Regions from separate parts of the Mus musculus genome. Here regions 2, 3, 4, 5 and 6 are each reported to be linked to region 1. Evidence: microRNA targets listed by miRTarBase, many of them from high-throughput screens and not tested one by one. Region 1 holds a microRNA gene; each other region holds the end of a gene's coding sequence.

Region 1 (4,000 bases):
GAAGAAAAAAAAAAAAAAAAAAAAAAAAACACTAGATAGATTAGATAAGGGGGGTTTGGCTAGAATATAGTTCCGTGTGATGTGTGCCTAGCAAGTATAAAGCCCTGATTTCAATCCTCAACATCAAAAGCAGTAAGAAAGCCAGATGCTTCAAAAAAAAGGCTAACAATATTCAAGGACCAGCCCTAAGTACAGTAACTAGGATAGTGGCAGAGCTTAGGAGAAAATGTACCAATAATATTCTAGAGAATACAGAGTTCCCACCTCACAGACCTGGCCAGTCACCACTTACAAAACTATTCTTTCCTTATAATGAGAACATCTAACCCTGAATATTGCTTCAGATACGACCTGCTTTGGCTGTTTGGGGGGAGCCTGAGGCAGGAGGGTCTAAGAATTGGAGGTCAGCTTAGGCTACGTGCTAAGTTTCAGAGTAACCTGAGCTATCAAAGTATAAAAATCCTGTCTCTATATGGGGAGAAATGTTTTTAAAAATGAAAGAAGGGAGGAAGGGAAAGGGAAAGGAAGAAAGAAGGAAGAGATCGGAGGAGGGCTACCTGGCTGAGGATGTACTTCAGTGGAAGGCTAAGATGAGACCTCAAGTTCAAGGTTAGCCTTATCAACAAAGCAAGGCTATACAATAAGACCCCATCTTAACAGGTTGGTGGTGGCCTAAACCTTCCAAGGCCAGCCTAGCCTACAGAGTGAGTTCCAGGGCAACACAGGATATCCTGCCCCCCACCCCAAAAAAAAACAACAAAAGACAGAGGCAGGCGGGTTTCTGAGTTTGAGGCTAGCCTGGTCTACAGAATGAGTTACAGGACAGCCAGGGCTACACAGAAAAACCTTGTTTCAAAAAACAAACAAAAACAAAACAAAACACATTATGAAGCTGGGGTTGATGGTGTGCACCTGTAATCCCAGGTCTTAGGAAAGGCCACAGTAAACCAGGAGTCCAAGGTCATCCCGGGTTAAAAGCCCAAGCCACCTGAAACCACCTTAACAAAACACATCACATCCTGACAGAAAAGCCAAGTTTGATAGGATAATTCTAAAATAACTTAGACCTCAGATCTGATATTTACTGGCTCTAGAAAAATCACAGTAAAACAGTTTTGTGAGAGGAGAAAAGAATCTCCCCAAACGTAAAAGATCTAAAAAGTTAGTATCCCTTACTCACACCAAAGTTTGCTGAGTCATAAATATTAATCAGCAAGGTTTGAATAGGTAAGTATCTACATTACACTTAGGCAATGTCTTTAACTCAGTCATGGAGCAGAAAGTGCTGAAGTGGCCAGAATACAAAATCTACACTCAATATTTGGCTTTTATTAACTCTATACTATCAAAGAATCCTGTCCCTGCTTCCCTCAAATCTATCACTGCTCTGGCCCACAGAATAAAAGGATAAAAGAGAGACTTTCTGTTGGATACCCATATGTGTAACAGAATTCATGTCCCAGCCCAACCATGTCATACAGTTAATTGGAACTGAGCACTCATCTGTCCCAGCTGTGCATGGCTCCTGAGCTTCCTTAAACCAAATGCAAATATCTTATCTTGATCTCATACTCAATTTAAGAACCACTTTTCAAACTAAGAGTAGTTGTGGATGCTTTTAATCCCAGCACTCAACAAAGGCAGACCTATCCCACAGAGTTTGAGTTCAGGGCAGCCACGGCTACATAGAGAAATCCTGTACCCAGAAATCGAACGGGGGTGGGTGTGTGTGTAGGTGTGTGTGTGTGTATGTATGTATATACACACACACACCTACACACAGCTTTTTTGGAATTTTTAACATTTTGATGTTAGAAGGATACAGATGAAGACTAACATATCGAGGAAAAGAGAGCATAATAAAGAGTACTTTTTGGGTTTGTTTGGGTTGTTTTAGACTGGATTCCATTCCCCATGCTGGTTTTGAACTTCAACAATCCTACTTTAGCCTTCTAAGTACTAGGGTTAGAGTATGTACCACCATACCCAGCCTGAGGAGACTGTTTTAACAAAGGTAATACAAATGTGGGTGAAATAGATATTAAAACATTAATGTGTCCTCTCAGAAGCCAAAAGAATTAAAGACTTTTGCTACAGAAAACAGAAATGTTAGAGACACTGTTCTGGTCTGAAGAAAAAGTACCAAGAGTTAGGAAAGTGACAGAATCAGCTAGGAGCCTTCTTCAGCTATACACAGACTAGACAGGTAGACATCATCAAGGATACACAGGAATACAGAAATACCAAGCTAAAAAGACCGAGACTTAGTTGAGAAGCTGCATTAAAGCTAATAGGTATGTGCACCCATAGGCACTGGGTAAAGAACTTGATCAGAAAAGGGAAAAAAATGGCCTGGCCTTTATAATGGATAACTAGCATATCAGTTGAAGTGAGGGTAGGAACCATCTACAGGGGTAGGGCAAACCTAAGTCTTTTTTCAGCTACAAAAAAGATACAATTTCATAGTAGAGTCAGAGAAAGTTATTTCCAAGGGCATAAGAAAGTAGAAGTTCTACTAGGGTAGGGGGACAGACAACCTGAGGAAACCTGAAGAAAAAGGGGCTCTTCTCACCCATCTCATGCTATGGAAATTCCTCTTTCTCTCCAGGATGAAGAGTAAGAGAGGGACCAAACGTGTCCGGGACAATTCCACTCATAAAAGTCAAAAGATGTTCAGAACCCCACTGATCAGAAGAAGAAAATATCTGGGGCGTGGGATCCAGAATAGACTCAGGACAGATACAGAAGATGGGGTGGGTGGTGGATAGAAAGAAGGAAAAAACAAAAGTCTGGTCTGGCATGGTGGCTCAACCAGTAACGCCAGAGCTGTAATCCTAGGCTGAGGAAGAGTTCAAGTGCAGCCAGGGAGGGGATCTTGTCCCAACCACACCCCTTAAAAAAGTTCACAGGAATCAAATCTTAGGCAAAGAAAAAGCTGATTAAAGAAGCAATTCTGAAAGATACTTTTTTTCTTTCCAGAAGGATTGTCAACAAGCAGAAATCTGTTAGAATAAGAACTTGTTGAGATGGCCTTTGAGAGACAGTGAAGCTTAAACTTACCAAGAAGATAGAGGAATGACCTAAATATATCTAGAGTCAAAGAGATAAGCGTGAATCCATCCCTCATAGGTGATTTTGGAATATAGGTGTGGTGGGTGACAAACTTGTCCAACAAATCCACTTTATGGCTGGCTGATAAAAACCTGAGGCCAAAGATGCTAATGCTAAATAACACAGATGGGTTTTGACCATTTCTTGTCAGCCTGGGAACAGGAATTTAAGACCAAAAGTTGAGCAAATGGTCTAGAGCCAGTAGGCAGAAGGCTCCCTGAAGACCTAATGTGGGACAGTGGACCTTCCCAAGGGGGTCATGTAGGAAAAGAATGCGAATCCTCCATGTGCTTGGGCTGCAGGGGTGATGTGATTAAAAGCTGAAGTATCGCCTACACTAAAAAAAAAAAAAAAAAAAAAAAAAAAAAAAAAAAAAAAAAACAAGAAAAGTCGATTAGAAGCTAGGAAAAGGGCTTTCTCCAAAGGGACCCGGGGCTCCCATCCCCGCACAGGAATGACCTGATGGCCATGTTTTCAGCTGATAAAAGCAGGTGTAACAGCGAGCTCAAAATAAAAGCACGAGGGTTAACTCCCACGATCGCCACGGGAGGGTTTCGAGTGGGAACGTGGGTCGAAGGTTCTAAGGGTCAAGACCAAGCTCCAGAAACTCGATCCCGCTCCACTCTTCCCTGCCTCGGCTGGGGGAGGGGGCTAAGGAGGGTGGCCCGGGTCGACGCGCCGTCTCACCTTGTAGAAGGCCCCGTTGGAGCCCCGCACCTCGACGGGCAGTCCCGGCTCCACATCCCCCCCAGAGGCCAGGCCGCCCATGGCGCCGCCACCACCTCCGACTGGCCCGGCAGCAGCTGAAACAGAGCCCTGAGTGCGGGCCGGGCCGGGTCCCCGGCGTCTCCCTGGAGGAGGAGCCGGAGGGGGAGCCGCGGGGGGCGGG
Region 2 (5,236 bases), not on the chromosome of region 1:
TTCTAAAGCAATACAGCTAGGATTTGTGGTGGTTGACTGTGAGTACGGAGAGAGGGGAAGGGTCACCCAGGAAAGTTGGGGGCTTTCGTACAGAGCATTTGGGATTGTTTTACAGCTTAAAATTGAAGTTGCAGCCAGTATTTCCATGGTGACCATCTAAGACATAGCAGAGAACTCCATTTCGGTTTTGCATTTCCTCTAGGAGATCATCCTGTGGAGAAAAGCACCCGAGAAACTGAGAAAACAGAGGACGAACTTTCACCAGCGGTTTGAATCTCCAGACTCGCAGGCCTCTGCGGAGCAGCCTGAGATGTAAGCAGGTGGGCAGAGCAGCAAGTGCAAGAACCGGGCCAAGAGAGCAGCTCAGCTGGCTGACGACAGTCGCAGCGTGCGGACATCCCAACTCCACGTCTGCTAGTCTTCCTTATCCTAGAGTGCTGCGTTTATTTTACAGTATGATTAAAGGTTTTGTGTATATACATTTTAAAAAGTGCTTCTTGGAAACACTGGAGAATTCCTAAGCTGCCTTTTTTGTTTTCTTTTTTACTGCACACTGATAAGCACTCAGAAGCATAAACATTAAGGATTTTCATGTGAGTAGACTGGTATTTGTAATTTTGCTTTCTTTATGCATAATGTTGAAAATCCTTTTCTCTGTTTTCATGCTAATGATTACCTCTTATTCTCTATGTGCAAAAAATTAAATATTTTTGTTCAAGTAAAATGAGAAAAACCTGAGCAGCCCTTATGTCCTACAAAGTTTTAAGGCATGGCTCCTCAGTATTTTTGAGAATTGTGTTTATTTTTACATGTGGATCAGAAACCAACCTGGTGTTACATGGTAGGCACTTCTGGGTCTACCATTCACAGCCTCCTGAATTTTAATCTTTGGGATCTCTGAGGTATATGAAAGATTGTCACCCCAGGGATGACATGGTTTGTCATCGTGGCCCTCTTGCCCCTTATTGACCACGTTTGCTATGACTTTCTGTATCATCATGTAGGTTCTGCAGTGTGGAGTTGACACATTGGCATTTTAGAACTTGTTAAACCTGTATCATTTTTTTTCCATAAAGACTTTGAAACATGTATATATTTTTTAATTTAAGGACTACTTTCCATGTGTATGCAAATCGTCACCTAGGAATGAGAGAGCTTGGGAGAACCAGCCGAAGTGTCCATAGCCGGACAATTTCTTGTTAACTGGAATATTGGCTAGTTCAAACTTGACTTCACGTAGTCTATTTAAAAAAACCCGAACCAAACAGAACAAAAAACACTAAATTCATACCATTCTCTGAAAAGAAGGCTGCAGTCAGCTGAGCACAGACACACAACTGAGGCGTATGGGGCAGGAGGAAGCCTGTGTGGGGGCCACTCTCACTCAGGGCTTGTTGGTTTCTGTACCAGTGTTCCTTGATACACCTCAGTACAGGTTTGTCAGTTAACTTTACTTTCTAGGAAGCTCAACAGCCCAACTTATGTTTCCTTAAACCTATTTTTTACTATGATGGCACTTTGATAAAATGGCCAGCAACCAGCCCTGGCCAAAGGTTCACATACCACGTCCTGGAGCAGCTATTGTCAATGTGGGTTTCTAAGGACGGCCATGTTCTCCTTCATGTAAGTGCCTGTTCAGAGTCTCAAAGTTTCAAAATGCCAAATATTTTCATGGTCACTTGCATGTATAATCTAGGAAATATTCAAGGAGATTTTGAAAAACAATTGTATTTAACCAGCCTCAAGTTGTGCAACCATGATATATAAAATAAATAATTTGAAACAGAAACTTAAGTTTGTAGTTTAAATAAAATGACTTTATTCTCAAATCTTGTCATTACAGCATTGCCCAGTGGTTAGGAAGACAGTCACAACAGTGAACTTTTATTAGTAGTACTAGCTTCAGGTTTGTTAAGGTTTTGTTTTGCTTTGTTTTTTTAGGTTTTATTTATTTTATATGTATTGCTGTTTTGGCTGCAAGTATGTCTGTGCAGGCATGTGGGCAGTGCCCAAGGAGGGCAGAAGAGAGCATTAGATCTCTTGGAGCTGAAATTACAGGTGTTTGTGAGCGGCCATGGGGGTGCTGGGAACAGAACCAAGGTAGCCAGTGCTGTTGACCACTGAACCATCTCTGGGTTCTCCAGCTTCAGTTTTAAGTAGTTATATAATGCTTTTAATTAATTTGCTTAAAACTCATATAAAATGCTTATTCATTCCATTTGATTCTTTTCTGATGCATAACCAACTTAAAATTTGGGGATTTCAGTCAAAACTTGATAAATAAAAAAGTTAACTATAGGCTAAATCTGTTTGCCCCCTGCAGAATATAGTGTCATAGATAATCTCAATCTTAGTCACATGCCAGGATCACTTCAGGAGCTTTAGAAAAACGGTCACACCTAGATCTCACCTAGACGGTAAAATCAGACTCTAATGGGAGTTGTGCTGCATACGTATAGTCCCAGCATGTGTGTTACAGAGGTAGGAGGACTACCTCAGGGTCAGCCTGGTCTACATAGTGAGTTCCAGCTTAGCTAGAGCTGTGTAACGAGACCCCCATCTAAAAAAAGATTGTTTTTCATATATTGGGGCATTAACATAAAAACAAGATTATCCAGGATTGAAGAGACAGTAATCACATTTCTTGTTTTGTTTAGGTTGGTCTCTACAGCCAGGACTGATCTCAAATTCACTATATAGCTGAGGATGACCTTAAAATACATTTAAGAAAACAATAATAAAATAGGGTTTTGTAGTCCAGGCTAGCTTTGAACTTACACACCAAGATGATCTGTAACTTGTGGTCCTCTGTCTCTGCCGCCCTGTGTTGGTATTATAGGCTTGCACCACCATGCCTGGTTTACATGGTGCTTAGACTTCATGACCCAAGGCTTTGAGCATCTTAAGCAGCATGCTGAGCAAGCACTCTGTCAACAGAGGCTAACTCTAATCCGCCCCTCTACCTCCTGGTTTGTTTATGTCGGGTTAACTGCTGATCATTTATGAAAGCATCCTCCAGTGGCATATACCTCTGCAGAGACTTTACAGATTTAAAGTTTTTCACCCTTATGCATAGTGAGGAAAACAGGTACCTTTCTATTTTTAAATACTTGGATGTTCTGAAAATCTTAGTACTTGGCTTCTTACATCATGGCCAGATTCTACATTGCAGAATACATCTTCACCCTAGTTATGTCCAATTCCATACACCTTGCTCCACTCAAATTCTAGTAAGGTTGTCCTGGGAACCTCAGTTTTTTGTTTGTTTTCTTGGTTGGAGTTTTTGTTTTGTTTTATTTTGTTTGAGACATGGTCTCAGCATTTAGACTCGGGTTGTCTAGAACTCTTTGTAGACCAGGTTGGCCTGAAACTTGAGACATACTCTTGAGTCAAAGGTATATACTACCATCACTTGGCTTCTTCTTCTTCTTTTTTTTTTTTTTTTTTTGATCTCATTTTTTTTAAGTTCAACATTGGGGAAGGTGGACAAAGAGAAAGAAAAGAGGAAGAGGAGGGATGTAGAGTTAATTGGGGAGGGGTGGGGGAGCCTGGAGTAGGGTGAGAATTGTAAGGCAGAGGGAGAGTCTTGTTTCCAAGGGGGGTGAACTAACAAAGGGTTCCAAAGGGGGGGGGGGGGTGTACACTCCAGACTAGGAGAGTGGGAGAGTGTTGGAGGGCACAGATTCTGAGCCAGGCATGGGGATTTTGTACAATGGTTAGCCAATGGTCAATATAAAGAAACAGATTGAGGTGTTCTGGGGTCCCTCTGACCTTTAGCCAGATGGCTTGGGCAGTGGTGGGGTCCAGGGAGCCTGCTGCTGGCCAGCTTACTTTACATGAAGGCCAACTGACCTCACAAAAACAGTTTTTCCTTAATGAGGGTAACACTGTAATTTTCTCTAAAACTGTGGGGAGATTTAATACTGCATCATAGGGGAGACTTGGTTGGAATAGTTGGTCCCCATTATGGAGAAAAGTTTACCTAACTCTGGGAATCAAAGGGTCAAAGGGACCAGACTGGAGAAGGCAATACTGAAAACGAGCCTCTTTGAGTTGAGCACAGGGAGGAGGAGATAGGCCCAGGAATGTACGTGCTTATATGGCTGGAGAACTCTTGTTCTAGGAAGAAAGGAGGGAGAGTAGGCTTATAGACAAAAGACAGAGGATAAAACTTACTGGAACTGTCAGTATTATCCCAGGGAAGGGATTAATACTGCTCATGTAACAGGTGAGGAGGGTAATGGGTTGCTCCCTGAAAAGCAATGTGATATACCCCAGGTTGCCTTCTGGTTGTCACTAAGTCAAAGACCAGCTCTCCTATCCTTGAGACAGACAACAAGAGAACTCTGTATACTTCTCCTCCCCTTCACCCACTCTCTGAAAGCCCTTTCTCTATCCACCCCTCAATGGTGACTCCCTGGCCTTAGTCCCTGTGGACAGTGAAATCGCCAAAGAACAGCTTTCCAATAAACCTGCCTTTACTATAATCTGGATTGATTTGGCTCATTTCACCGGCAGAGAAATAACCTATCAGAACTAAGGTGATTTATCAGATCCTGAGAGTCTTCAGAAAACGAGTTCACCAAGATGTGGTGATGCATGCCTTTAATCCTAGCACTTGGGAGGCAGAGGCAGATGGGATCTTTGTGAGTTTGAAGCCAGCCTGATCTACAAAGTGAGTTCCAGGACAGCCAGGGCTACAAAAGTGAAACCCTGTCTCAAAAAACAAAACAAAACAACAGAAAACCTAAACAAAAAGAAGAGAAAGTAAGAAAAGAAAGGTGTAGTCTCCCCTCCCCCAGCCTGAAACCTGCTTGCTCAGGGGTGGAGCTTCCCGCTCAATCGTTCTGCCACGCTCACTGCTGGAACGTGCGGCTTTGCTGTTTGGAGCCACACACGTGATCACCCTGCTACTGGACCCCGAGATTATTTGGCGGGAATTGGGCCCCCTTCCCCTGCTTTATAACTGAGTGCCGAAATAGTAAAAATTGAATCTTGAGCAGAGAGCTTTGTCTTGGTTCCTTCCTTATCTCGCGCAGCCCAGCCCCTCTTCTCTTCCAGGTTTCCAAAATGCCTTTCCAGGCTAGAACCCAGTTTGTGATCTACTGGCCAGACACAACAGAAAGGTTCTGAGGTTTTCATTTGTAAAGGTTGATGGTTGAGCATTAACAAAGATCATCGCTGTTCACCTTGGCCTCTGCTCCCCTCCCTTGCACATTCAACGCTTTATCTGCAA
Region 3 (5,501 bases), not on the chromosome of region 1:
GGAAGATTACTGCAAGTTTGAGGCCAGCTTATGCTATAGTGTAAATAAATACTTGTCTTCAGAAAACATCCCTTACCTGAAATGCTTTGGATCGAAAGCATTTCAGATTTTGGAATATTTGCACATTTAAGAGGTATTTTAGAATGGAACCCTAATCTAAATGTAAACTTCTCTTTCGCTTCTTTTGTATTTTATGCACATTGTCTGAAGGTGATCTTATAAAAGACTCTGAACATGCCTGTCTTTTGACTGTGACCTGTCACATAAGGTTGGGTGAGAGGTTATACACTTGTGGCTTCATGTCAACACTCAAAAAACTTAAGATTCTACTGCTTTGGGACCTTTTCTGCTTGCAGTTTTTTGCTTTTGCTGTTGCCTGTTGGCCAAGAGCCTCACTTGTGCTCAGCTTGTGAGCTACAGCTCACCTGGGCTCAGCTCTACCTGTGAGCTACATTTCCAACCTATACTGAATAATTTTAGACAGAGGATGTTCAGCTTATATAATTGAGAAGTTTTGTTCTAATTGTCCCCTTAAATACTGTTTCAAGCTGGGCCGTTTTACATACATACATAAAGTCATTTATTTATACACACACACACACACACACACACATATATATATATATGTGAAAGTAGGGAAAGAAGCCAGGAATGGTCTGTATATAGGATATACATGTTCCTGTGAAGAAGGTCTCGACAGGCGTGGTTGTGCAAGCCTTTAATCCGAGCACTAGGGAAGCAGAGGATGACAGATCTCAGAGCATGAAGCCAGCCCAGTCTACAGAGTGAGTTCCAGAACAATGAAGGCTACAAAGAGAAACTGTCTTCAAAAACAAAACAAAACAAAAACTCAGTCATGTTTAATCGTATCTGACTACTGTATATTTATATTTACTTTCTTGTTTCTTTTCTCACAGCTACTTCTGAGTGGAGGAGCAGACAATAAATTGTATTCCTACAGCTATTCCCCTACCACTTCCCATGTGGGGGCTTGAAAATGAATGGCTGAGAAGAGACTTCCTTGTTGGGTCTTGTCTTAATTCTTAGTGTCTCACTGTTATTTCATAAACTGAATCAAATTTGAGAGAGGACTTATAGTACAGCTCAGCTGGTAGAATGCTTGCCTAAAATGTGCACAGCCCTGCATGCTATCTCCAGCACTGCCCAAAGAAAAATGGGCATGGTAGCACATTCCTGTAATCCCAGTCCTAGAGGTTGGAAGCAAGAGCATCAGAAATTCAAGGTCACCCTCTGCTGTATAGTGAGCTTAAAGGCAGCCAGCCATGGTTCCCTGAGTCTCTGTCTCCATAAGAAAGAAATCAATGGATAATCCTCTGATATCATTGTCAATGCAGAGACAGGAAGCAGCCTTTTAAAATTTGGATAACAGTTCATCTTTCATAATAGCAACATTTTACTGTCTTTGTCCTTCGTGCTTATAAAATACAGTAAGTATGTGGTCTGAATTCTGTCTACATTTTACCCTATGTAGACTCCTAAAACTTGAATTTCAGAAAGTATACTTTTTAAAGGGATATAGTACAAATGTAGTAAATTTGTTTTTTTTTGTCTTTTTGTTTTGTTTTAGTTTGACTTTTTAGTTAGCTATTTGAAGAGAAACATCTAGAAAAGACTAATAATGCTATAGGAGCCAGGCATCATAGCACACACTTATAACCCTAGCATTTAAGAAGTAGAAGCAAAAGGCTTGGGACTTGAGTAGGATTGGCTTCATAACTAGTTCAAGTCAGGAGCAGGATGAGACTCGGTCTCAAATAAAGAAAATGAAAACTTATAGGAGGGTCATCAAAATGGCTCAGTGACTAAAGATGCTTGCTGCCAATTCTGATAGCGTGAGTTCAGTTCTCAGGTCTGAACTCCTGCAAGCTGTCCTTTTCCCCACACACATGCACACATACTGTGGCATGCATACAACTAACCTGTAAATAAATTTAAAGAAAAAAGAAGTTTATAAAAGTATGGGGAAAACAGTCATCTAACATTAAAAGCAAATAGTAAAAAACAACAACAACAAAACACCACACACTAAAAGGTAGTGTGTATAAGAAAATAAGACTGTTGAGTGTTCAGAGCATTAAAACAATGTAGATGTTAATTTGTCCATTCATTGAGCAGCAGGGCAGTGATGGTTCACATCTTTAATGCCAGCACCTGGGAAGCAGGTGGATGTCTGTGGGTTCAAGGATAGCCTGGTGAGTTTCAGGACAGCCAGGGATAAACAGAGAGACCCTGACTCAAACGCAATAAAAAAAAAAAATAGTCTTTCCTGACTTAACTGTCTAGGCTGATAATGCAGTACGTAATGAGTAAGATTAAGGTAAAAAGGCTGGGTTGGAGGGGCAGCTCAGCAGTTCAGAGCACTTGCTGCTCCTGCAAAGGACCTGGATTCCATTTCCTGCATCCATTTGGCAGCTCACAGCCGTCTGAAACTCCATTTCCTGGGATTCAGACATTTGGCCTCCTGGGCACCAGACACAAATGGTACGCATACGGCATTCAAGCATTCCGAAGAACAAAGGTGAGGAGGCCCATGTATCAAAGACAAATGGAAGAAAGGGTGTGGCATCTGAAACTGGCCCTTTACCTAGTCTTAATCTCAATCCTGGTTCCATGGCAACCTTATTTCTGTTCAGGCCATTTCAACAGGGAAGCCCGAAAAGCCAGGGGCCAGGTATCATTGACGAGGATTGTATCTAAGCCTCTTAATCTGCCAAACTTTTCTCCTTCGGGCTATTTAAGTGCTTAGAACTTAGTCCCTAACCAGGAAAGTAAGAGGCCAACACAAGACTAAAGGATCTAGCCATCTTTTAACATGCTTTTCTTTTTCTTCAAGCGTTGTCTTCCTCTCCATGGTCCCTTTCCTTCTAGCAGAAACAGGCTTTACAAGTTTGTTTCTGAGGTTCACCTGGACCTGCTCACCTATCGCTGGGATAAATTGGAGTATAGGGATTATTTATGCTGTCTCATAGGAATGGAGTCTGTAATACATCGAGACTGGATCTCCTACCTAACCAATATCTGTTATTAGTGTTTATAATAAAACTCCTCAATTTAAAATTAGGCTTAGGCAGTGGAGGATAACTTAGTGATAGATATCATTAGTTAACATGTTTGAGGCCTTGTGTTAAATAGGTGTGCTCACACACACAAATTTAGGCTGAATATACCTAATTAAGTCAATTAAAGGGAAAAACTGAATTATTCAACTCCAGAATGTTGTTAGGGAAAAGGCACAAAGTGAGAGGCAGACATTAGAAGTTAGCCTCACTGGTGTCCCAGTGCAGAGAAAGGAAGACGAGGTAGTAAAAAGGCTGTAAACAGCGGTGGGAAGGAAGTCAGCTGTCAAGGATCTCATGTTGAGAGGCAGCTGAACCACATTTGGACAGGTGAAAGAGGGGGCAGGTTGTTTCCAACTGAGGGAGAGGCACAGAAAAATCTAAATAGCTTGAATACCGTTAGAACATAAGTGTACATAATACTTCATACACCAGGAAATTTTACTTCCTCTGAAGCCACCTTTAGATTCCTAGAAGCAATAATATTTTATCGTGGAAAATACGAAAAGAAAACCTTGCTTTACCTGGAGAAGACCCAGTGGAAGCAAGGCATTTAAAATTTATATTTTATGTAGAATACAGAAAATACCCTCTTAGAATTCCATTTGGAACTTAACAACTATGCATAGCCATATATCTATGCCTTCCAGGCTCTAGGGAAAGAATGACTGTTTAATATGATGTGTGACCCAGTCCGTGGGTCAGTCAATAGGGTCTGCAAGAGAAAGAGTGGGGACTGAGGAGCAAGGGACTTGAAGAATGGAGACAACACAGGCTATCTGCTCAAGGTTCAAGTCTCCTGTCTCATTTATTGAAAGGCAACTATGGGTAATATATGCACTCACTGGGTAGTGATATGTGCAGCTGGAGACACTTAACCACAGGTCCAGGATGTATAGGAGAAAAACAAGATGTTATCAGAGTGTGTACAGCTGTGGTAGGCTTGCAAAAACATGCTAGGAAAACAAGTCTCTCATCACAGTGGAAAAGTACCACATGTAAGTAAATTGCCCGAGATGGCTGCAGAGATGATAGCAGCTTTCTGCTAAGAGTCGGCTCCCAACAGATGTGCACATAATTATACAATTAACCCTGTGTCTTGGTGTTTGTTTTGGTTTTGTGCTATGATAAGATCCTACAACAAAAGCAACTTATGAAATATTTAATTTGGGACTCAGAATCATTAACTGTACTTCCAGGTGATCTGGTGATCCGATGCATACACATAAACACAGGCAAAACAATCATTTAAAATAAATCTTTAGGGCTGGTGAGATGGCTCAGTGGGTAAGAGCACCCGACTGCTCTTCCGAAGGTCCGAAGTTCAAATCCCAGCAACCACATGGTGGCTCACAACCATCCGTAACGAGATCTGACACCCTCTTCTGGAGTGTCTGAAGACAGCTACAGTGTACTTACATATAATAAATAAATAAATCTTTAAAAAAAAATAAATCTTTAAAGAAGGAAAGATCACAATGGGCATGGTGTCCAAGGCCTTTACTCCAGCACTCAGGAGTCCAAGAAAGGTCTATCTCTGAGCTTGAGGGCCACTCTGGCCTACAGAGTGCCTTCCAGGCCAGCCAGAGCTACATAATGAGACCTTGCCTTAAGGAAAAAATCCTACCACCAGCTTGGATCTCATTTGTGGAGCCCCACATCCCAAGTCATCTTACCTTCTTTTCAGTTGTAAGAACCTATGAGAAAGGATAACATTTTTAATAGTATAAAAGTTTTATGTTCATGGAAAAGTAGCAATTGTATATTCTTAATTCAATCTCATGTAAACATTTTAAAAGTGTTAAATCCTTTATTTTCTAAAAATGAGTTTTGGGGGCTGGAGAGATGGCTCAGCGCTTAAGAGTGTTTGGACTGCTCTTCTGACAGTCCTGAATTCAAATCCCAGCAACCACATGGTGTCTCACAACCATCTGTAATGAGATCTGATACCTTCTTCTGGGGTGTCTGAAAACAGTACGTGTGTGTGTGTGTGTGTGTGTGTGTGTGTGTGTGTGTGTGTGTGTGTAAAGGCGTTTTGGTTGGTTTTGTTTTTGTTTTTTTTAAGCCATGCTGCCTTACTTTTTGGTTGTTTTTTGGTGGTGTTTTTGTTACTGTTTTGTTTGGGGTTTTGGTTTGGCTTGTTTGTTTGTTTTGGTTTTGAGGTGGTTGGGTTTGTTGGTGTTGTTAGTTTGGTTGGTTGGTTGTTTTTTTTTTTTTTTCCCAGACTGTTTCTCTCTGTAGCCCTGGCTGTATAGACCTGGCTGACCTTGAACTCACAGATACCTACCTTCCTCTGCCTCCTCTGCCTCTGCCTCTGAGTACTGGGATCAAATGTGCACACCACCACACCCAACTCTGCCTTGCTCATTTCTTAGGGCACTAGTATAAGCCATTTAAACACCCTGATCAGCCCTACCGGTTGAA
Region 4 (5,501 bases), not on the chromosome of region 1:
GCTAGGTCTCACACACAAGCCCTTGTACTTCCAACACCTCCATTTTCTTTCATCTCTAAAATGGACTATTTCTGAGTGTGTGTGTGTGTGTGTGTGTGTGTGTGTGTGTGTGTGTGTGTGTACATATATATGCATATATGTATGTGTGTATACAGTCTATCTATGCGTGTATGCATATACATATATATCTGAGTATATATGGTCTATCCCAGCTCCTGAGAGGCTGGGACAGAAGGATGAGGTCCAGGATGAGTATCCAGTTGAGGATAAATAATAGCAGGTTCCACTGGGCAGTGGTGGCACATACCTTTAATCCCAGCACTTGGGAAGCAGAGGCAGGTGGATTTCTGAGTTTGAGGCCAGCCTGGTCTACAGAGTGAGTTTCAGGACAGCCAGGGCTACACAGAGAAACCCTGTCTCGAGAAAACCAACCAACAAACAAAAATAGCAGGTTCCAATTCTGCCTCAGTATGAAACTACTTCAAAAAGCCAAAATAAGTCCGATGGACTCAATAATATTGCAAGCCAATGGGGTGGGTGAGGGTGAGAGGTGGGTGGCAGGCAGCCTGTCCAGCTGTGGTTAACAGAACTCTCTCACACTGTTTCTATGATTTCTCACCCTGCCCCCCAGATGTGGACGTGACCGGACAGAACTGGACTTTCACGTTTGACTTCTCTTTTTTGAGCCAAGAAGAGGATCTGGTATGGGCGGAGCTCCGGTTGCAGCTGCCGGGCCCCATGGACATACCCACTGAGGGCCCACTCACCATTGACATTTTCCACCAGGCCAAGGGGGATCCAGAGCGGGACCCCGCTGACTGCCTGGAGCGCATTTGGATGGAGACGTTCACCGTCATTCCTTCTCAGGTCACGTTTGCCTCAGGCAGCACAGTCCTGGAGGTGACCAAGCCACTCTCCAAGTGGCTAAAGGACCCCAGGGCACTGGAAAAGCAGGTGTCCAGTCGAGCAGAAAAGTGTTGGCATCAGCCCTACACCCCACCTGTACCTGTCGCCAGCACCAATGTGCTCATGCTCTACTCCAACCGGCCTCAGGAGCAGAGGCAGCTAGGGGGCGCCACTTTGCTTTGGGAAGCTGAGAGCTCCTGGCGGGCCCAGGAGGGACAGCTGTCTGTAGAGAGGGGCGGATGGGGCAGAAGGCAACGCCGACATCATTTGCCAGACAGAAGCCAACTGTGTAGGAGGGTCAAGTTCCAGGTGGACTTCAACCTGATTGGCTGGGGCTCCTGGATCATCTACCCCAAGCAGTACAATGCCTATCGCTGTGAGGGCGAGTGTCCTAACCCTGTGGGGGAGGAGTTTCATCCTACCAACCATGCCTACATCCAGGTATGATGCTTGGCTGCTAGATGGTGTGTGTGTGTGTGTGTGTGTGTGTGTGTGTGTGTGTGTGTGTGTGTGTGTGTTCAAGCATTGGGAGAGGGCGCTCTCTCTATCTAGTTCTCTCTCTAGTTCTCCCTTTCTCCCTCTCCTCTCCCTCTCTCTCTCCCTCTCTCCCTCTCTCTCCCTCCCTCCCTCCCTCCCTCCCTCCCTCCGGCAGTCCGTCCGTCCGTCTGTCTGTCTCGTTACATGGCCCAGGATCACCTTGAACTGCTGATCCTCTTGCCTTCACACCCCTCGTCTGGGATCACAGGCATGCACTATTACAATACTGGGGATCAAATCCAGGACCTCGCCCATGCTAGGCAAAGGACTGAGCCACATCCCCAGCTTTTCCCTGTTCCCATAATTAGGTGATGGGGAGGGAATAGAGTAGACCTCTGCTCCTCCAGCTCTGACATTCAGAATTTGGACTAGGCAAGTCTTCGCGATCTAGCTCATTACTCATTACATTAAGCTGCTTATTTGCTGAATGCTATCTTTTTCGAGGCTGGTAACATGTTTCACAGGCATGGCGCGCGCCCGCGCGTGTGTGTGTGTGTGTGTATGTGTGTGTGTGTGTGTGAGGTGGGGGGGGGGGTTCGTGAGCTGGTTCCATGGGCAGCATTCTATTTATGAATGAAAATAATTTCCTATTTTTGTACCAGAAGCTAAGTTTTCACTTTAGCCAGAAATAGTAACTCTGCCTTTGCCCCAGCAAATGCAAACTGACCCTCCCTCCTTCCTCCCTTTCAGAGCCTGCTGAAACGATACCAACCCCACCGGGTTCCTTCCACGTGCTGTGCCCCCGTGAAGACCAAGCCACTGAGCATGCTTTATGTGGACAATGGCAGGGTCCTCCTGGAACACCACAAGGACATGATTGTGGAGGAGTGTGGGTGCCTCTGACAGAGCCAGGGGGAGTGCTGAAATTGGCTTGCATTCCACAATGCTGATGAACTCCAAGGAGACTCCATTGTGTCTATCCAGGGAGCAGAAACGTTAGAAGAGTTCTGCCTGCTGGAGCTAAAGAGAAAAGCCCCGCCCCCTGTGCATACAGTGCTCTTAGACCTGCCAAGCCAGAGAGAGGCTACCGTGGCATGGCAGGATGGGGAAGCCTTGCAGGGGCTGGCTCGCTGGGCTCCCTGGAAATAGGGTTTATGAACTGCTTGAAATTGTGTGCAAAGGCTGGGGTGTATATATATATATGTATATATATATATATGTATTTATTTTTGATGCCATCTGTAACTTTCTTGTATTCTCAAAAGTGGTCTGTGACCTGCTGTCCCTCCCTCAAGATTAGTATATATTTTATTAGATTATAAACGAGCCATTTGGTTCTCCCTGCCTCAAGCTGTGGTAGGGAAGACCCACAACCTTCTGGCTGGCTGGCAGTGACATACTGGCCTTGGTCAGGGGCTCTCTGATCTCTAATGACTTGCCTAAAAAAGCCACTGTCCAGTTCTCCAGGGCCAGTTGGTGCCTTTGACCAGAGAGGTGGGCACTTGTCCAAGAGGGGACTGGCCATGGTGGACTTTAGAAGCCAGAGTCCTGAGATGTATGCTTGGCAGACACAACCCAAGTCTATTAAAAGTCTGTGACAATTCACCTCTGTCTCACAATGTGTTTCTAGGTTCCTGAGTTCCGATCCAGCAGGGGATGGGCTTGTGGTCTTAGCTTTTGCAGAGGTTATGTGAGGTGTGGGGAACTCACTGCCTGGCATCCCCTAGTAAAACAAAAAGTGGGAGAGCCTGATGCATATGTGGGAAGTGCCTCTGAGAGCTTGGGAATGACTGGCCTAGTAGCAGACACTTGCTTAGTACACGTAGGACCCTGAGTTAAACCCCAGCATGAAAAAGTCAGGTGTGTAGTGGAGCACACCCTTAATTCCAGCAGTTGAGGCAGAGGCAAGCAGGTCTCTGAGTTCTAGGACAATCAGAGCTACACAGTGAGACCCTGTCTCAAACAAAAAGCTGCATGACAGGGAGGGCCATGGGGCTTCATGTCCTCTAGGCCTTCTCCATCTGAGTCTTTCAATCCTTAAAGTTTAAGGCCTGTTAGGCCCGGGTACCCTAACTGCAGGTTCTAACTGCAGGTTCTGCGTGGCATAGCAGGAGGCTCGGCTTGCAGTAGAAAGTTCTACCACTGAGACATCTGAGTATCTCTGTTCTTTTGGCAAGGTTGAGGGGTGGAATTGAAGTCCACAGGAAACACCCCCTCTCCCCTTTCCCAGGATACTCATCCACTTTTGTTCCAGCTTTGGTTGAACCAAGCCAGTGAAACTGGTCCAGAGACTGGGCTGGCTACAGCCTAGCCTGGGATTGAGAAAGCTAAACCCAGGAGCGCTGAGCAGAGAAATGGGCTCAGTCACCACAGGGTTCTGCCTTGGGTTTTGAGTCAGGATCTCTCTTTAGTCCCGACTGGCTTCAAACTCTAGGCGATTCTCTCTTGCTTGACTCTCAAATGCTGGGATTACTCACCTCTACCAAGTGTTGACTTCCAGGCCTCAGGTCCACTGTGGAGTTTAAGTTCTTGGAGGGAAGTGGCCTCCCAGGACACTGGGAAGCAGGTGCCTACAGTCCCTACACAGCACGACAGGGCCAAAGGCCATGGTTATTTGTGGCTTCAGCTTGTGGGAGTGTTTACAGTTGGCTGTTCTGTGAACTTGGGACAACAAAGCTCCCTGGTGACAAAGCACTGCCCTATGTCAAGTGGGGGATAAGGACACAAAGTGACCACTTTACACGTGCTGATTGTGGTCACCATGCTGGCTGCAGGACCACCATGAGGCCCTGGCCAGGGCTATCTGGGTATCAGTTCCTAACAATGGTTCTGGATCTAGTCCATGGCTTGGCTGAAGGCCTTGGACATTTCTATCTGAATGTGGGCCTGCAATAGTTATTTGCTCCCAAGGCAAAGGTCTGGTGTTCTGCAACTGCAAGCAGGGCCAAGAGGAAACTGCCTTGCCTTCCTGGCAGACAGTGGGTGGGTAAGCAGTAGCAGAGAAAGACAGTAACCAGAAGAGGGAAAGCACACAGGAAAGCACACAGCTGTGACACTCTGCACTCTAACCTGGGTTTATCGGCACCTTAAGAACCCCCTTATACAGGGGGCTGGAGAGATGATGGCTCAGCAGTTAAGAGCACTGGCTGCTCTTCCAGAGGTCCTGAGTTCAATTCCCAGCAGCCACATGGTGGCTCACAACCATGTGATTGTAATGGGATCTGATGCCCTCTTCTGGTGTGTCTGAAGACAGTGACAGTGTAGTCATATACATTAAATTAAAAAAAAGAAAAACCTGTTATAGTAGGAAGATCTCCCCCTGCCTTCCCCCCACCCCAGAACCCACCCCTGCATGGCGGCTCACCACAGGCTGGCAATTCTCTCAAACCCAGCTGAGCTTAACATATTTTGAGAAGAGTCTCACAGTGTAGCTGGTCTGGAACCCACAGTATTACATACTGCTTCAGCCAAGCAAGTGAAGGGAGTGTGTATCACTTGAGGTTTTTTTGTTTTTGTTAAAGATTTATTTATCTATTTATTTATGTATGAGTACTCTGTAGCTGTCTTCAGACTCACCAAAAGAGAGCATCGGATCCCATTACAGATGGTTGTGAGCCATCATGTGGTTACTAGAAATTGAACTCAGGACCTCTGGAAGAGCCGCCAGTGCTCTTAACCCCTGAGCCATCTTTCAAGCCCGATTTGATTTTTTACAAGAACCGGTTGTACTGGCATTAGGCATAGATGCTCCTGACCTAAAAACCTGTAAAATGATTTCTTCATTCTGATAAGATCTAAGAACCATGTCACGGGCAGCAAAGCTCCTGAACAGCAAGGCTGGAACTAAGGCTCGAGCAACCTAACCTCCACACTGTCTTTTGTCTTCTTCTTAAATGATTGATTTATTTTATATATGAGCACACTGTCACTATCTTCAGACACACCAGAAGAGGGCATTGGATCCCATTACAGATGGTTGTGAGCCACCATGTGGTTGCTGAGAATTGAACTTAGGACCTTCGGAAGAGCAGCCAGTGCTCTTAACCACTGAGCTATCTCTCCAGCCCCTTTACACTGTCTTGACAAGGTAGGCCTCCTTTCTCTGTGGACCTGTCCAT
Region 5 (5,501 bases), not on the chromosome of region 1:
GGGGGGCGGCGGCGGCGGCATGCAGCCGGGAAGCGCCGCCGTGACCTCGGGCGCCTACCGGGGGGACCCGTCCTCGGTCAAGATGGTCCAGAGCGACTTCATGCAGGGGGCCATGGCCGCCAGCAACGGCGGCCATATGCTGAGCCACGCGCACCAGTGGGTCACCGCCCTGCCCCACGCTGCCGCCGCTGCCGCCGCTGCTGCCGCCGCTGCCGTGGAAGCCAGCTCACCGTGGTCGGGCAGTGCGGTGGGCATGGCCGGCAGCCCCCAGCAGCCGCCACAGCCGCCGCCGCCGCCGCCTCAGGGCCCCGACGTGAAGGGAGGCGCTGGACGCGAAGACCTGCACGCCGGTACCGCGCTGCATCACCGCGGACCGCCGCACCTCGGGCCCCCGCCGCCGCCCCCTCACCAAGGACACCCTGGGGGCTGGGGGGCCGCAGCCGCCGCCGCCGCTGCCGCCGCAGCCGCCGCCGCTGCCGCTCACCTCCCGTCCATGGCGGGTGGCCAGCAGCCGCCGCCGCAGAGTCTGCTGTACTCGCAGCCCGGAGGCTTCACGGTGAACGGCATGCTGAGCGCGCCCCCGGGGCCCGGCGGTGGCGGCGGTGGAGCGGGCGGTGGAGCCCAGAGCCTGGTTCACCCCGGGCTAGTGCGCGGGGACACGCCCGAGTTGGCGGAGCATCATCACCACCATCACCACCACGCGCACCCGCACCCGCCGCACCCGCACCACGCGCAGGGACCCCCGCATCACGGCGGCGGCGGCGCGGGGCCAGGGCTCAACAGCCACGACCCTCACTCGGACGAGGACACGCCGACGTCTGACGACCTGGAGCAGTTCGCTAAGCAGTTCAAACAGCGGCGCATCAAGCTGGGTTTCACCCAGGCGGACGTGGGGCTGGCTCTGGGTACGCTCTATGGCAACGTGTTCTCGCAGACCACTATCTGCCGCTTCGAGGCCCTGCAGCTCAGTTTCAAGAACATGTGCAAGCTCAAGCCGCTACTGAACAAGTGGCTGGAGGAGGCTGACTCGAGCACTGGCAGTCCCACCAGCATTGACAAGATCGCAGCGCAGGGCCGCAAGCGCAAGAAGCGGACCTCCATCGAGGTTAGCGTCAAAGGCGCGCTGGAGAGCCACTTCCTCAAGTGCCCTAAACCCTCGGCGCAGGAAATCACCAACTTGGCCGACAGCCTACAGCTGGAAAAGGAGGTCGTGCGGGTCTGGTTCTGCAACCGACGCCAAAAGGAAAAACGCATGACGCCCCCTGGCATCCAGCAGCAGACGCCGGACGATGTCTACTCGCAGGTGGGTACCGTGAGCGCTGACACACCGCCACCGCACCACGGGCTTCAGACCAGCGTGCAGTGAATGCCGGGGCGCAGCGCGAAGAGGGCCGCCGCCGCCGCCGCCACCTCCGCAGCCGCTGTCAGCACCGCCATGGTCGCCGTCGCCGCCGTCTCCGAGCCGCCGCCGCCGAGAACCACCGCTGCTGCTGCTGCCGCCGCCGCCGCCGTCACCGTCGCCGCCGCCGCCGCTGCCGCCGCGCAGACCCAGCACCTGGCCAGTGCCAGGGCATCTAGGCCTCCTCCCCTCCGCCCAAAGACAGGCGTGCCACGGCCCCAGGAGGGGGGAGGACAGCTGGAGACCGATGAGACTCTTTCTGAAGTCCAAGAAAGGAGGGACCAAAAAAATTTTTAAGCATAATAAATACCAAGACTGTTTTATATGCATATATAACAAACAAAACCGGAAGAGGAAAAGGGGCAACAGGGACATCTCGTTTATACTGTGGTGGTGTTCTGCTTCTGTTTTGAAAGAAGGGTGAAGATGCCTAACGCACCTAAACTGCACACTTGAGGTACTGTCCACACCGAGATGTCCTGCATGGCGTCGTCGGTGGAGAACACCTGCCTCGGAGATAAGAGAGAGACACCCCCCCCCTCTTTCTTCCACTTCTTCCAAAAGGGCTGCCTAAAAGATCCATGGAAACTTTCTTTATGGGGAGCGACCTGAAAAGAAAGACGCACCAGGTTTCCTGCAGGTCTGACTCTGCTCTTGGACAGTGTTTTTCTTGGCCATATTCAAGTCTTTGGGGAACAAATAAATCAACTAAGAAATGGGAAGAAGGGAGAAACAGAGTCTGGGGGGGAAGATTCGCCGCTTCTGAAGTTCACAGACTGAACAAGAAAGCCAAAAGAAAGCATCCTCCGCAGTAAACTTGGAAATAAAAGCATCGCGAAAGAGCCAAGGCTGGGTGAGGCTGAAGGGTAGGTACGTCCAGCCGCAATCCACTAGCGGAGAGGGCACAAAAGCGGGGCCCGGGCCCAGCCTCTGAGACCGCCCACAAGGGCCAGGCCTCCACCACCAAACCCGGGCTTTGCTGACTGCCGCTCGGGGTGGACCATGCCTAAAGATTCCGCCGCTAATATTTTTTTTATTAACATTTTTTATTTTTTATTTCTGGACTGACTCCGATAAAAGGGTGTGGAAAGACAGCACCAACCGCGCACTTCCCTTGACTTCTGCCCTCAATGCGTTGCCAACTTTGATTGAATGGGTGCTGCGGATGTGATTATGTAATACTGCCATTTCCAAGCAGTGTTTTTGGTAGGTTTTAATAAACAGACTTTTCAAATGACGGCAATATAGAATCGTTAGATCCGTTGTTGATCTAAAAATATTTGCTTTATATTTTCATTAAATGACTTCTTTTAATATTTTATTCAAAATACTTATGAACTGCTGCAAAACGGTAATTTATTTTTCCCCAGATCTTGTATTACGTGTTTTTTTCAGACGAGCACAAATCAAAATGAAATGAAAATATGGACAGTTGTTAGGTAATAAGGGTATCTTTTGATGTGATCATTTGATTGTAATTTAATTTGAGTAGTGATTCCGTAAGAGCTGATTGAGAAAATAAATTTGTTAGAATGAAATGGTCTGTGTCTGATGCATAAACACTGTGTGGGAAGAAAAGAATCCTTTAGAAAATATTTTTTTACTAATGCAGACCCTTAAGTCATAGCATTAAGAGAGCGGAGCTTCCCCACGCAAAGGTATGTTTGAAACCTCCAGAACAGGCTAGGGTTGCTAAAAGGAGTTGCTTTAGCAATAGTGGTTATTCACTCCTTGTTGGTCCATAAATTTCACAATATTCTCCTTACCCTCAGTTTCAATGGGTGTCTCTAGTGTTTTTGCTGAGTGATCTATAAATATTAGCCATTTTCTTGAAAGTACCTGTGTTTTGCTACATCACCAGTGAAAATATGCCCACCAGCCAGTCATGGTAAATACAGTTCCTCTTAGGTCAGCCTCTTTTTGATCACCTTGCCTTCCAATATATCCCTGTTTTTTTCTTTCTTCCTTTCTTTTCCTTCCTTCTTTCCTCTCTTTCTTTCTTTCTTTCTTTCTTTCTTTCTTTCTTTTCTTTCTCTTTCTGTCTTTGTGGATCAATAGTTGCGAAGGATAGCTTATAAATTCATGAAATATTTTGATATCAGTTACTCCCCATTGATAACTATGTGTGATTAAATTTCCATTATTAAGCCTATATTTGCTTTTCTTCCTATATTTCTTTCATGAAAGATGATGGTACTGAGCCCTGCTTTGCTCTGTGCTGAGATTGTCCCTAGCGCAGACTCCAGGCTGCCCATTTCTGTGGTTTGGTCCTTCAGAGGCATAGTAACTCTTCATCTTCCTTACCAATGCCTAGGCTTTAGTTATTTTGGTCACTTTTTAGATAAGACCCTGCAGGATGGTCACATTTATCAAGTTGATGCATCAGTATTTACAAGCTGGAAATACAACACCTCAGGGTATGAGAGATAAAGAGGAGAAAGGCTCTGATTGGTTGAGTCCTTGTATTGTATGTGGTTTTTTTTTTTTTTTTTTTAAGTACTTAGGTGGAAAAACAATGATTTTTACACAGGCATTTCCCCCAATCTCAGCTACCATTCACCTTTTGCCTAATCTTTGCTGGCTTCCCCTCCCCCAATATAGATTCAAGGGTTAAAAAATTCTGGGAAACTATGAGGACAAGAAATAGTTTCTCACAGACAGACCCAATAGCACAAATTGAGCCCAGCCAGACAACCATGTATTTGGGTTGCATTATTTTAGATACCAAATTGTAGTAAAAAAAAAAAAAATCACCAGCATTCTGATTCATGAAATCTGGAAAAGGCCATATTTATTAAACAGAAAGACATGAAGGTACAGATAAGAAACCACATTTTATTTTTCTCTTTGCTTTTGTTTTCTGTTTCTCCTGTTATTGTTATCACACTGCCTGGAGTTGGGGTAGGGTGAGAGTCATCATCTTTTTATTTGTTTGTTTTGTTGTTGTTGTTGTTGTTGTTGTTGTTGTTGTTTTAGAGGCTCTGAGGGTAAGCCAAGAAGGCCTCCCTGAAAGTGAGGAATGGGCCAGGCTGTTTGTAAATGGAACACATCACTGGTGTGTGACAGGGATCTTGGTGGGTTTTTGTTTTTGTTTTATTTTTGTTGTTTGATTAAGGGCGAGGTTTTGTTTTGTTTTGTTGTTTGTTTGTTTGATGTTTTGTTTTGTTTTCCTGCTGGAATGGTGGTGCCTGACTAGGAAAGGAATGGGTCTATTTTAAATGCCAGGAGGTATCTGCTTTCTTGATTTAGCTCATGACAAAAGAGCTAATGTTAGATTTTACCCTGTCTTCTATTTGCTGGTTACTTTGGAAGAAGCCCAGATCTATGGGTAGCAGAGTACGTTTTTGATTGAAGAAGATAGGCAAACCAAGCAGTTTTGCTTGTCATTGTGTGTTGTGTAAAGTAAGCTGACGCTTGCACTTTTTGTTTTAAAGTCAATCCTTTGAATGTATTTACAAAATGAAATTGATGGTTGAAACACAGCAGAGAAGATATGAGAGTTTTTGTGCTAAGGCTCATATTGTTACACATGTAAATAATGAACATATTGTTGTATATCACCAGGTCTTTAAAAAAAAAAGAATTTGGTCATTGTGTTCTTATGCAGCACAAATGTCTTGTGCTTCGTAAACTGCCCATTTGTTTCCTCCATTTCAGACTGCCTACTCTTCCCCTTCCAACCCAAAGGAAAGTGACAAAGTTCTGGTCCATCAGCTTGGCTACTTTCAAACTAGGCCCAGTTATAGTTTACAGTAGAGTGTGGCTCCCGAGCCACTATCCAAGCTTTGATCACCCCATCTACCCAATCACCTTCCCCTGACAAGTCTGTACAATAAATAATTCAAGGTGTATTTAAAATATTAGTCACTTTGCTGTTGTTGCTCTGCGTTTTCCCTTCTTAGTATTAGCTAAGGGTTATTCCTCCTCTCTCTCTCTCTCTCTCTCTCTCTCTGTCTCTCTCTCTCTCTCTCTCTCTCTCTCTCTCTCTCTCATTGATCTTAGAGACTCCCTCTGCTTCTTCCTGGCCTCCAGTGTTTGCTCATTACCATACTCATGATCTGGTTTTGTATGAATGGTTTTCAACATTCAGAGAATAATTGGT
Region 6 (5,501 bases), not on the chromosome of region 1:
AGGTACTGCATTAGCAGAATCTGTAGTAGACATCACCACAGACTAAAGAAACAAACCCAGCATCGTGCTGGAGACGGAGTTATCTTAGAAACCACAGCTTGTTAATGGAACAGAGAAAGCGTTCTGAGAAGAGTAAGGTCAAGGGCTGGGGGTGTAGCTTGGTGGTGCGTGCCGGCCGTGTATTATCAAGGCCTTGGGTCTGATAACTAGCACTATAAATAAACCAATGTAAGGAAACTTAAAACTTACATGGTGAAAAATATCAGCAAATGAAGCATGAGAATGTTTAAATTTGCCTCAATGTTATGATTTTAAAAATCTCAAAATTCAGGCTGGAGAGATGGCTCAGCAGCTAAGAGCACTGACTGCTCAACCAGAGGTCTTGAGTTCAATTCCCAGCAACCACATGGTGGCTCACAACTATCTGTAATGGGATCTGATGCCCGTTTCTGGTGTGTCTGAAGACAGCTACAGTGCACTCATATGTACAATAAATAAATCTTTTTCTAAAAAAATCTCAAATTACTCAAATTTAGAAGCTGAAAGAATTTTTGAAACTGATAAAATGTGCACAAACCCTCTAGACCTACATCTTATTTAGAGGAAGAAAAAAAAAACCAAACCTGGCATTAAGGTCTCGCGTAAGGAGGCTTTGTTCATTTTTCATTCCGATAAAGCAGCGGTCCGTAACCTTACCAGTGTTGCAACCCTTTTATGCAGTTCCTCACGTTGTAGTAACCCCCAATCATAAAATTGTTCTTGTTGCTGCTTCATGAGTGTAATTTTGCTACTGTTGTGAATCATAATGCAAATATCCGATCTGCAGGATATTTAAGATATGACTTCATGAAAGGGTCATTCAACCCCAAAGAGGTCACGACCCACAGGTTGAAAACCACTGAGATAAAGTAACACTTGGGGCTCTGGTTAAAAGGCATGAAGCAATTAAGGAAAAAAAAAAGTTAGGGACAGAAGTGCGGAAGCATGCTGCCAAACTTTCTGACCTAACAACTGTGCAGTCATTTTTCCAGTCACAAACTGGTAGGCGGGAGATAGCATAACTAGTAAGATGCTAATTGGCAAATAGGTTGTACGCAGTAAAGAGGTGGAGCGGATTTATATATTCGTGCTAGCGGCAGTCTTTAGGGATGACATCAATCATTTTCAGAAGGCTTGGTCAGGATAACGCTGCTGGCCACCGGCTCCCTGCATCCATGCCTGTGTACAGCAGAACCGTAGGCCAGCGGCGATCCTCATATTTGCCAGAAGGTGGCGCTCGGCCTCCACGGCGCGACCAGCTGCAGTTAGAAGTCCCCTCCAAAGGAGCCACTTTCCCCCAGGCTGAGGCTGATTAGAAGTCATTCACGTGTCGCTGGTTGTCCAGCGACCCTACAGGTGCTCCGAAGGGGCCTGCAGTTCCGATGGCACAATTGTACTTCAGGGTCAAATCCCCAAAGCCATCCGAGGGGAGAATGAGATCCGGCAGACGTGAAGCTGAGGACAGGCAGGGTTGGGGCAGCAACTTGTTCTCTCATACTTCTCTCCCGCTTTGTGTGCGTGTGTGTGTGTGTGCGTGTGTGTGTGGCGGGGCAGAAGGGTGAGGGTGGGTGGGATGGCAGAGCGCACCTGGGTTGGCCCGGTGTGCATGCAGGGGCTATAGTAGGCAACAGGTGACTAGTGTATTGGGCGGCTGCCAAGGGCTCTCGCTCGCGCAGTCTCCAACCCAGGTGTAATGGGCAAAGCGTGCATCCCGGGTATATTCATTAGGGACAACCCCGCCCTGCAGGAAGGAGGCGGGGACCACCGGAACCGAAGCTGCCCCTCCTCCATTCACCAGGATGGATTCGGTGTCAGGGGAGAGGAAACACCGCAGCCAAGGCAGACTAGCAGGCGCCACCCAAACACCTGCTTGGCCTAGAAAGTGGCACCAGGTGCGACTCACATACTCGTACCTCTTGTCCCATCCTTTCTCTAGGCTGTGCCTGTCTTCCCTGGACTACTTTCCAGAACCACCCCTTCCCAACCAAGTCACTTGCAACTTGGGAACTAAATCTAAGCACCTATTGAATGCATATTCAAATTAGCGGCCCGGTGTCCTCAAGGCTCTGAGTTGGATGGAAATGTTGGTGATACCTTTTTTTTTGGTGAGTGGGAGGGGCTTTTCTCGCACCTTCCCTCCGTTCCTTGAGGTCCAGAGTGCAGTCAAGGGTGAAGAGCACTTAATAGCCACAGAACTGGGAGAGCAGCTGGCCCAGGCAGGCCTGGGTGAGCCACAGGTGGAGGAGACGAAGGACTTCTGGAGTTCGTGGCCAGGTTTAAAAGCGTAACCCCCAGGGGTGACCAGTGACAGCCAAAGCCCCTTTTCTCTCTGCTCCAAAGGTGTCTTTCTAGAGGGCACACCTAGGAACTCAAGGGGAGTCTTCTACAGTCCCGTTTAAAATCTAGTCCCAATGCACAGGCACAGAGCCACACTGCTAGGTGTGTTGCGTTTCCAGTCCCCATCCCTCCTAATGGCAACAATGTTTCAGTCTACTGGGCCGCCACGGGACACACATGTGATAGAGGGGGTGAGAGAACAGAAGGAGGTGCCCCAAGCAAACACAAGACACCTCAAAAACCATTCAGAATCCCGGCATTGATGTCAGACACATTTTATTATAATCTTAATACAGTCTACATAAATTTGAACTGGTATTTATTTGGGTTCAGTTATAACATAGCATAAAAAAAATCAAAGCACTGGTTGTCTGAAATAAAGCAAGCAATCAACATTCAATAAACACACTTGATTTATTTTGTATAAAAGGGTTAAGTTTACAACTAAACTTTTATAAAAAGTTTAGCATAAGTACGTCATTACATTTTAATGCAGAAATAGGTTATTTCTGCCACTATACAAGAAAACTCTAATTAAAGAGTCCACAAGGTTCACTCAATATATATATATTTATATATAAATATATACACAGCATTCAGTAGGCTCGTGTCAAAAAGGCCATTTCTGACCGAAGACTTCATTTAAGTAACCGAATACTGGGTCCTTCTGGTATTCACGCTCCACCTTTGTGAAAAGGCAAAGTCTGCTTACATTGGGCAATTCCTTGTGATTTTTTTCTTTTTTTTTTAACGTTTTCGCTCCCCATGGTGGGAATAGTATATAAAGAAAACCTTCCAACTGTAGAAAGGGCACTGAAAGTCTCTCATAAATAACGGTATCACAGTCCAGGCCGGAGAACGACACCTGGGCAAGACGATCATCCTTAGTTTTCCTTCCGCTTTCTTTTTAAAAAGGTCCATTCAACGTGTTCTCCTGGTGAAATGGCTGATAACAAAAGTCTTAAAAGATCTTGTAGACTTCTTCTTGTGCAAAAGAAAAAGAGAAAGTAAAAAGAAAAAAAAAAGTCCCCAAATGCCTGCAAAAGATTGGGAGAGAAAGGCAGTTTAGGAGAATGTAACCTAAGGGCAGAGGCGGGCGAGCCTGGCGCCGAGGAAGCCACAGTTTGAGCATTTAACCAAACCCTGGCGTCCAGATGCGGCACACATACCCGGCCCCAGCAGCACAAATTAAACATGAAAATAGCGGAGACTCCAGGGGAAAACTTCCCAAACCCAGTCTCCTATTTGGATCTCTAACAGCCCGCTCACAGGCGCCAGTCTGCTTCTTGTAACAATTATTTGATTGAAAACAGCCCTTTAGTTAACAGATATGGAAATCTGGATCCCAGAGCACAGGGGTAAGGCTCGGGGTAGCCGTCTTCAGCTAGCCAGAGAAATCTCAGAGGACTACAGTTTTGGGAAAAGAGAATCACTATGGAATTTGTGGCGATAAGATTAATTACAGCTGAGGTTACCACCTCAGTGTACCGCCACTGGGCTCATAAAAGTCAGCCACACTTGGTCCTGACACCTTCATAGTAAGTTACTGGCATTTCTTTTCTTTCTTTTTTTTCTTTCTTTTCTGTTTTTGTAAAGGCAACTGTTCTGTAGTCCTGAGCAACCACAGCTACAAGCCCCTTCATGCCTATGTGGTAAGTCAAGCGGCACCCGTAACACAGTGAAGTAAGCATGCATTTACCAAACCAAACATTTAACAGACACACAAGCACATTACCGAAACGCGCACACAGGAGGCACCCGCAACACTCACCATTTATTTAGCCACAGAGTACTTTGCTATCATTCGACATAAGCTCAGAAGGGAATTCAGATGCCTGGGGAGAAAGAGGATAAAAGGCAGGATATTAGGTAATCTTAAAGGAAGGTAGCCCCCCTCCTCCTTTCACAAAAGTGCCAACAAGTCCCATGAAACAGGATCATGCTACAGCGCAGATCCAGATGCAACCCACACAGAACTTATAAGTAGCGATTTCACATGACGCTCAATATACAGTTTCCTCAAAAATAAAGTTAATGAACCTGTCTCTACGATGGGCTTTAAGAGTGACAGCTCGGGAGACCCGGAGCGTCTGGGCAGTGGCGTACTTGCAAGCTAGTCTCACCTGCAAGGACAGGATGCTGATGTCCGTGTTCAGGGTGGTCAGCGGCGTCCTGGACGCCTGGTTCTGTCCAGGTCTCTGGTGATGCAGGCTGACGATAGTGGGATGCGAGTCCAGGGCGATCTGCAGGTCCAAGATGTAATCGATGACGTGCTGCAGGATTTCCATCTTGGTCACCTTCTTGTTCTGGGGGATGCTGGGCACCAGTTCCTTGAGCTTGGAGTAGCAGTCGTTCATGTTGTAGAGCAGACTCATCGGGTCGTCCACCGGGGTTTTGCTCCGGGAGATGCCCAAGCTGTGGTCCGACAGGCTGTTTTTCCTAACGGACCTCACCGGACTGAAGGCTTTCATGCTGCTCGTAGGAGGAAGACCGGGAGGGAGCCGCCACAGGGGGCTGAGCTGACTGCGCGGCACCAGGCTCGGTTCAGAATGAAGCGCGAGCCGGGCGGGGCGTCTTTTATGTGCACTCGCCCTGGCCGCTCAATCGGGCATCCCTGAATTGCCATTGGTGGAAGGGCTCCCGTCCATCATACCAGGCGAATTCTCCCATTGGTGAGTATGAGCTCTCGGTTCTTCCGCGTTCGCAGCCAATGCCTGTAGGGTGGGAGGAGCGGGCGAGAGCCCAGCTGGGGTGGCAAATTGAGTACAGTGTGCGCTGGGCGCCCAGGGGGCCTGAGTGTGCAATTGTGCCCGCCTTATTCCAATTCCCAGAGCTGGCAGGACCCCTGCCCCGGGGGTGTGCCCGGAGCTAGCTATACCCGCCCCCAGGACTTCCAGCAGCCCCACTCTCTCCGCACAGCAGACGGGAAGTCACAGGTCGCTAGCGTTAGGGAAGACAGCGACCGTGGCAGAAGGGAAAAGAAGCGCGCTTTTGGGAAGTCACATTTGTAGTGTTCCTTCTTTTAAGATAAAGGAAAGCTATTTGGGGAGGGGGGGGGAACCTACCCACATACACGTCCACGACAGGTTTAGCGTGAAGCTTTGCAACTTGGAGCAACGCGGGAG

What was found. Region 1 holds the annotated microRNA mmu-miR-467f (AUAUACACACACACACCUACA, at 1,758-1,778, shown strand). A microRNA usually pairs through its seed, bases 2 to 8, with sites in the 3' UTR of a target mRNA and lowers its output. Matches are read on the target gene's strand: a 7mer-m8 pairs with bases 2 to 8, a 7mer-A1 pairs with bases 2 to 7 and ends in A, and an 8mer does both.
Region 2: the mRNA of Vps26a is a reported target of mmu-miR-467f. Seed matches in the 3' UTR shown: 7mer-m8 at 471-477 and 7mer-A1 at 1,685-1,691.
Region 3: the mRNA of Wdr12 is a reported target of mmu-miR-467f. Seed matches in the 3' UTR shown: 8mer at 2,059-2,066.
Region 4: miRTarBase lists Nodal as a target of mmu-miR-467f. Seed matches in the 3' UTR shown: 7mer-m8 at 2,571-2,577.
Region 5: miRTarBase lists Pou3f3 as a target of mmu-miR-467f. The part of its 3' UTR that is shown has no 7-base or 8-base seed match.
Region 6: the mRNA of Id2 is a reported target of mmu-miR-467f. Seed matches in the 3' UTR shown: 7mer-m8 at 2,961-2,967.

The regions. Positions count from the first base shown.
Region 1 is chr11:69,633,197-69,637,196 of GRCm38, reverse strand. Mir467f (microRNA 467f) reads left to right here and starts at 1,678; the gene lies at 1,678-1,797. It overlaps Fxr2 (fragile X mental retardation, autosomal homolog 2), which reads right to left. Exons shown (of 17, transcript NM_011814.2): 1 at 3,799-4,000. The coding sequence starts at 3,879.
Region 2 is chr10:62,451,825-62,457,060 of GRCm38, reverse strand. Vps26a (VPS26 retromer complex component A) reads left to right here. Exons shown (of 9, transcript NM_133672.3): 9 at 203-2,218. The coding sequence ends at 316. Among named protein-coding and RNA genes, the nearest start is that of Supv3l1, 4.7 kb to the right of the region's middle.
Region 3 is chr1:60,073,658-60,079,158 of GRCm38, reverse strand. Wdr12 (WD repeat domain 12) reads left to right here. Exons shown (of 13, transcript NM_021312.5): 13 at 918-2,291. The coding sequence ends at 995. Among named protein-coding and RNA genes, the nearest start is that of Wdr12, 21 kb to the left of the region's middle.
Region 4 is chr10:61,422,351-61,427,851 of GRCm38, forward strand. Nodal (nodal) reads left to right here. Exons shown (of 3, transcript NM_013611.5): 2 at 632-1,347; 3 at 2,134-2,988. The coding sequence ends at 2,286. Among named protein-coding and RNA genes, the nearest start is that of Nodal, 7.1 kb to the left of the region's middle.
Region 5 is chr1:42,697,274-42,702,774 of GRCm38, forward strand. It overlaps Pou3f3 (POU domain, class 3, transcription factor 3), which reads left to right. Exons shown (of 1, transcript NM_008900.3): 1 at 1-2,937. The coding sequence ends at 1,366. The region is part of intron 1 of Gm46091 (predicted gene, 46091); the gene reads left to right. It overlaps 2900092D14Rik (RIKEN cDNA 2900092D14 gene), which reads left to right and starts at 3,063. Exons shown (of 1, transcript NR_027891.1): 1 at 3,063-5,501.
Region 6 is chr12:25,091,164-25,096,664 of GRCm38, forward strand. Id2 (inhibitor of DNA binding 2) reads right to left here and starts at 4,929. Exons shown (of 3, transcript NM_010496.3): 1 at 4,500-4,929; 2 at 4,148-4,211; 3 at 2,636-3,413. The coding sequence starts at 4,847. The coding sequence ends at 4,155.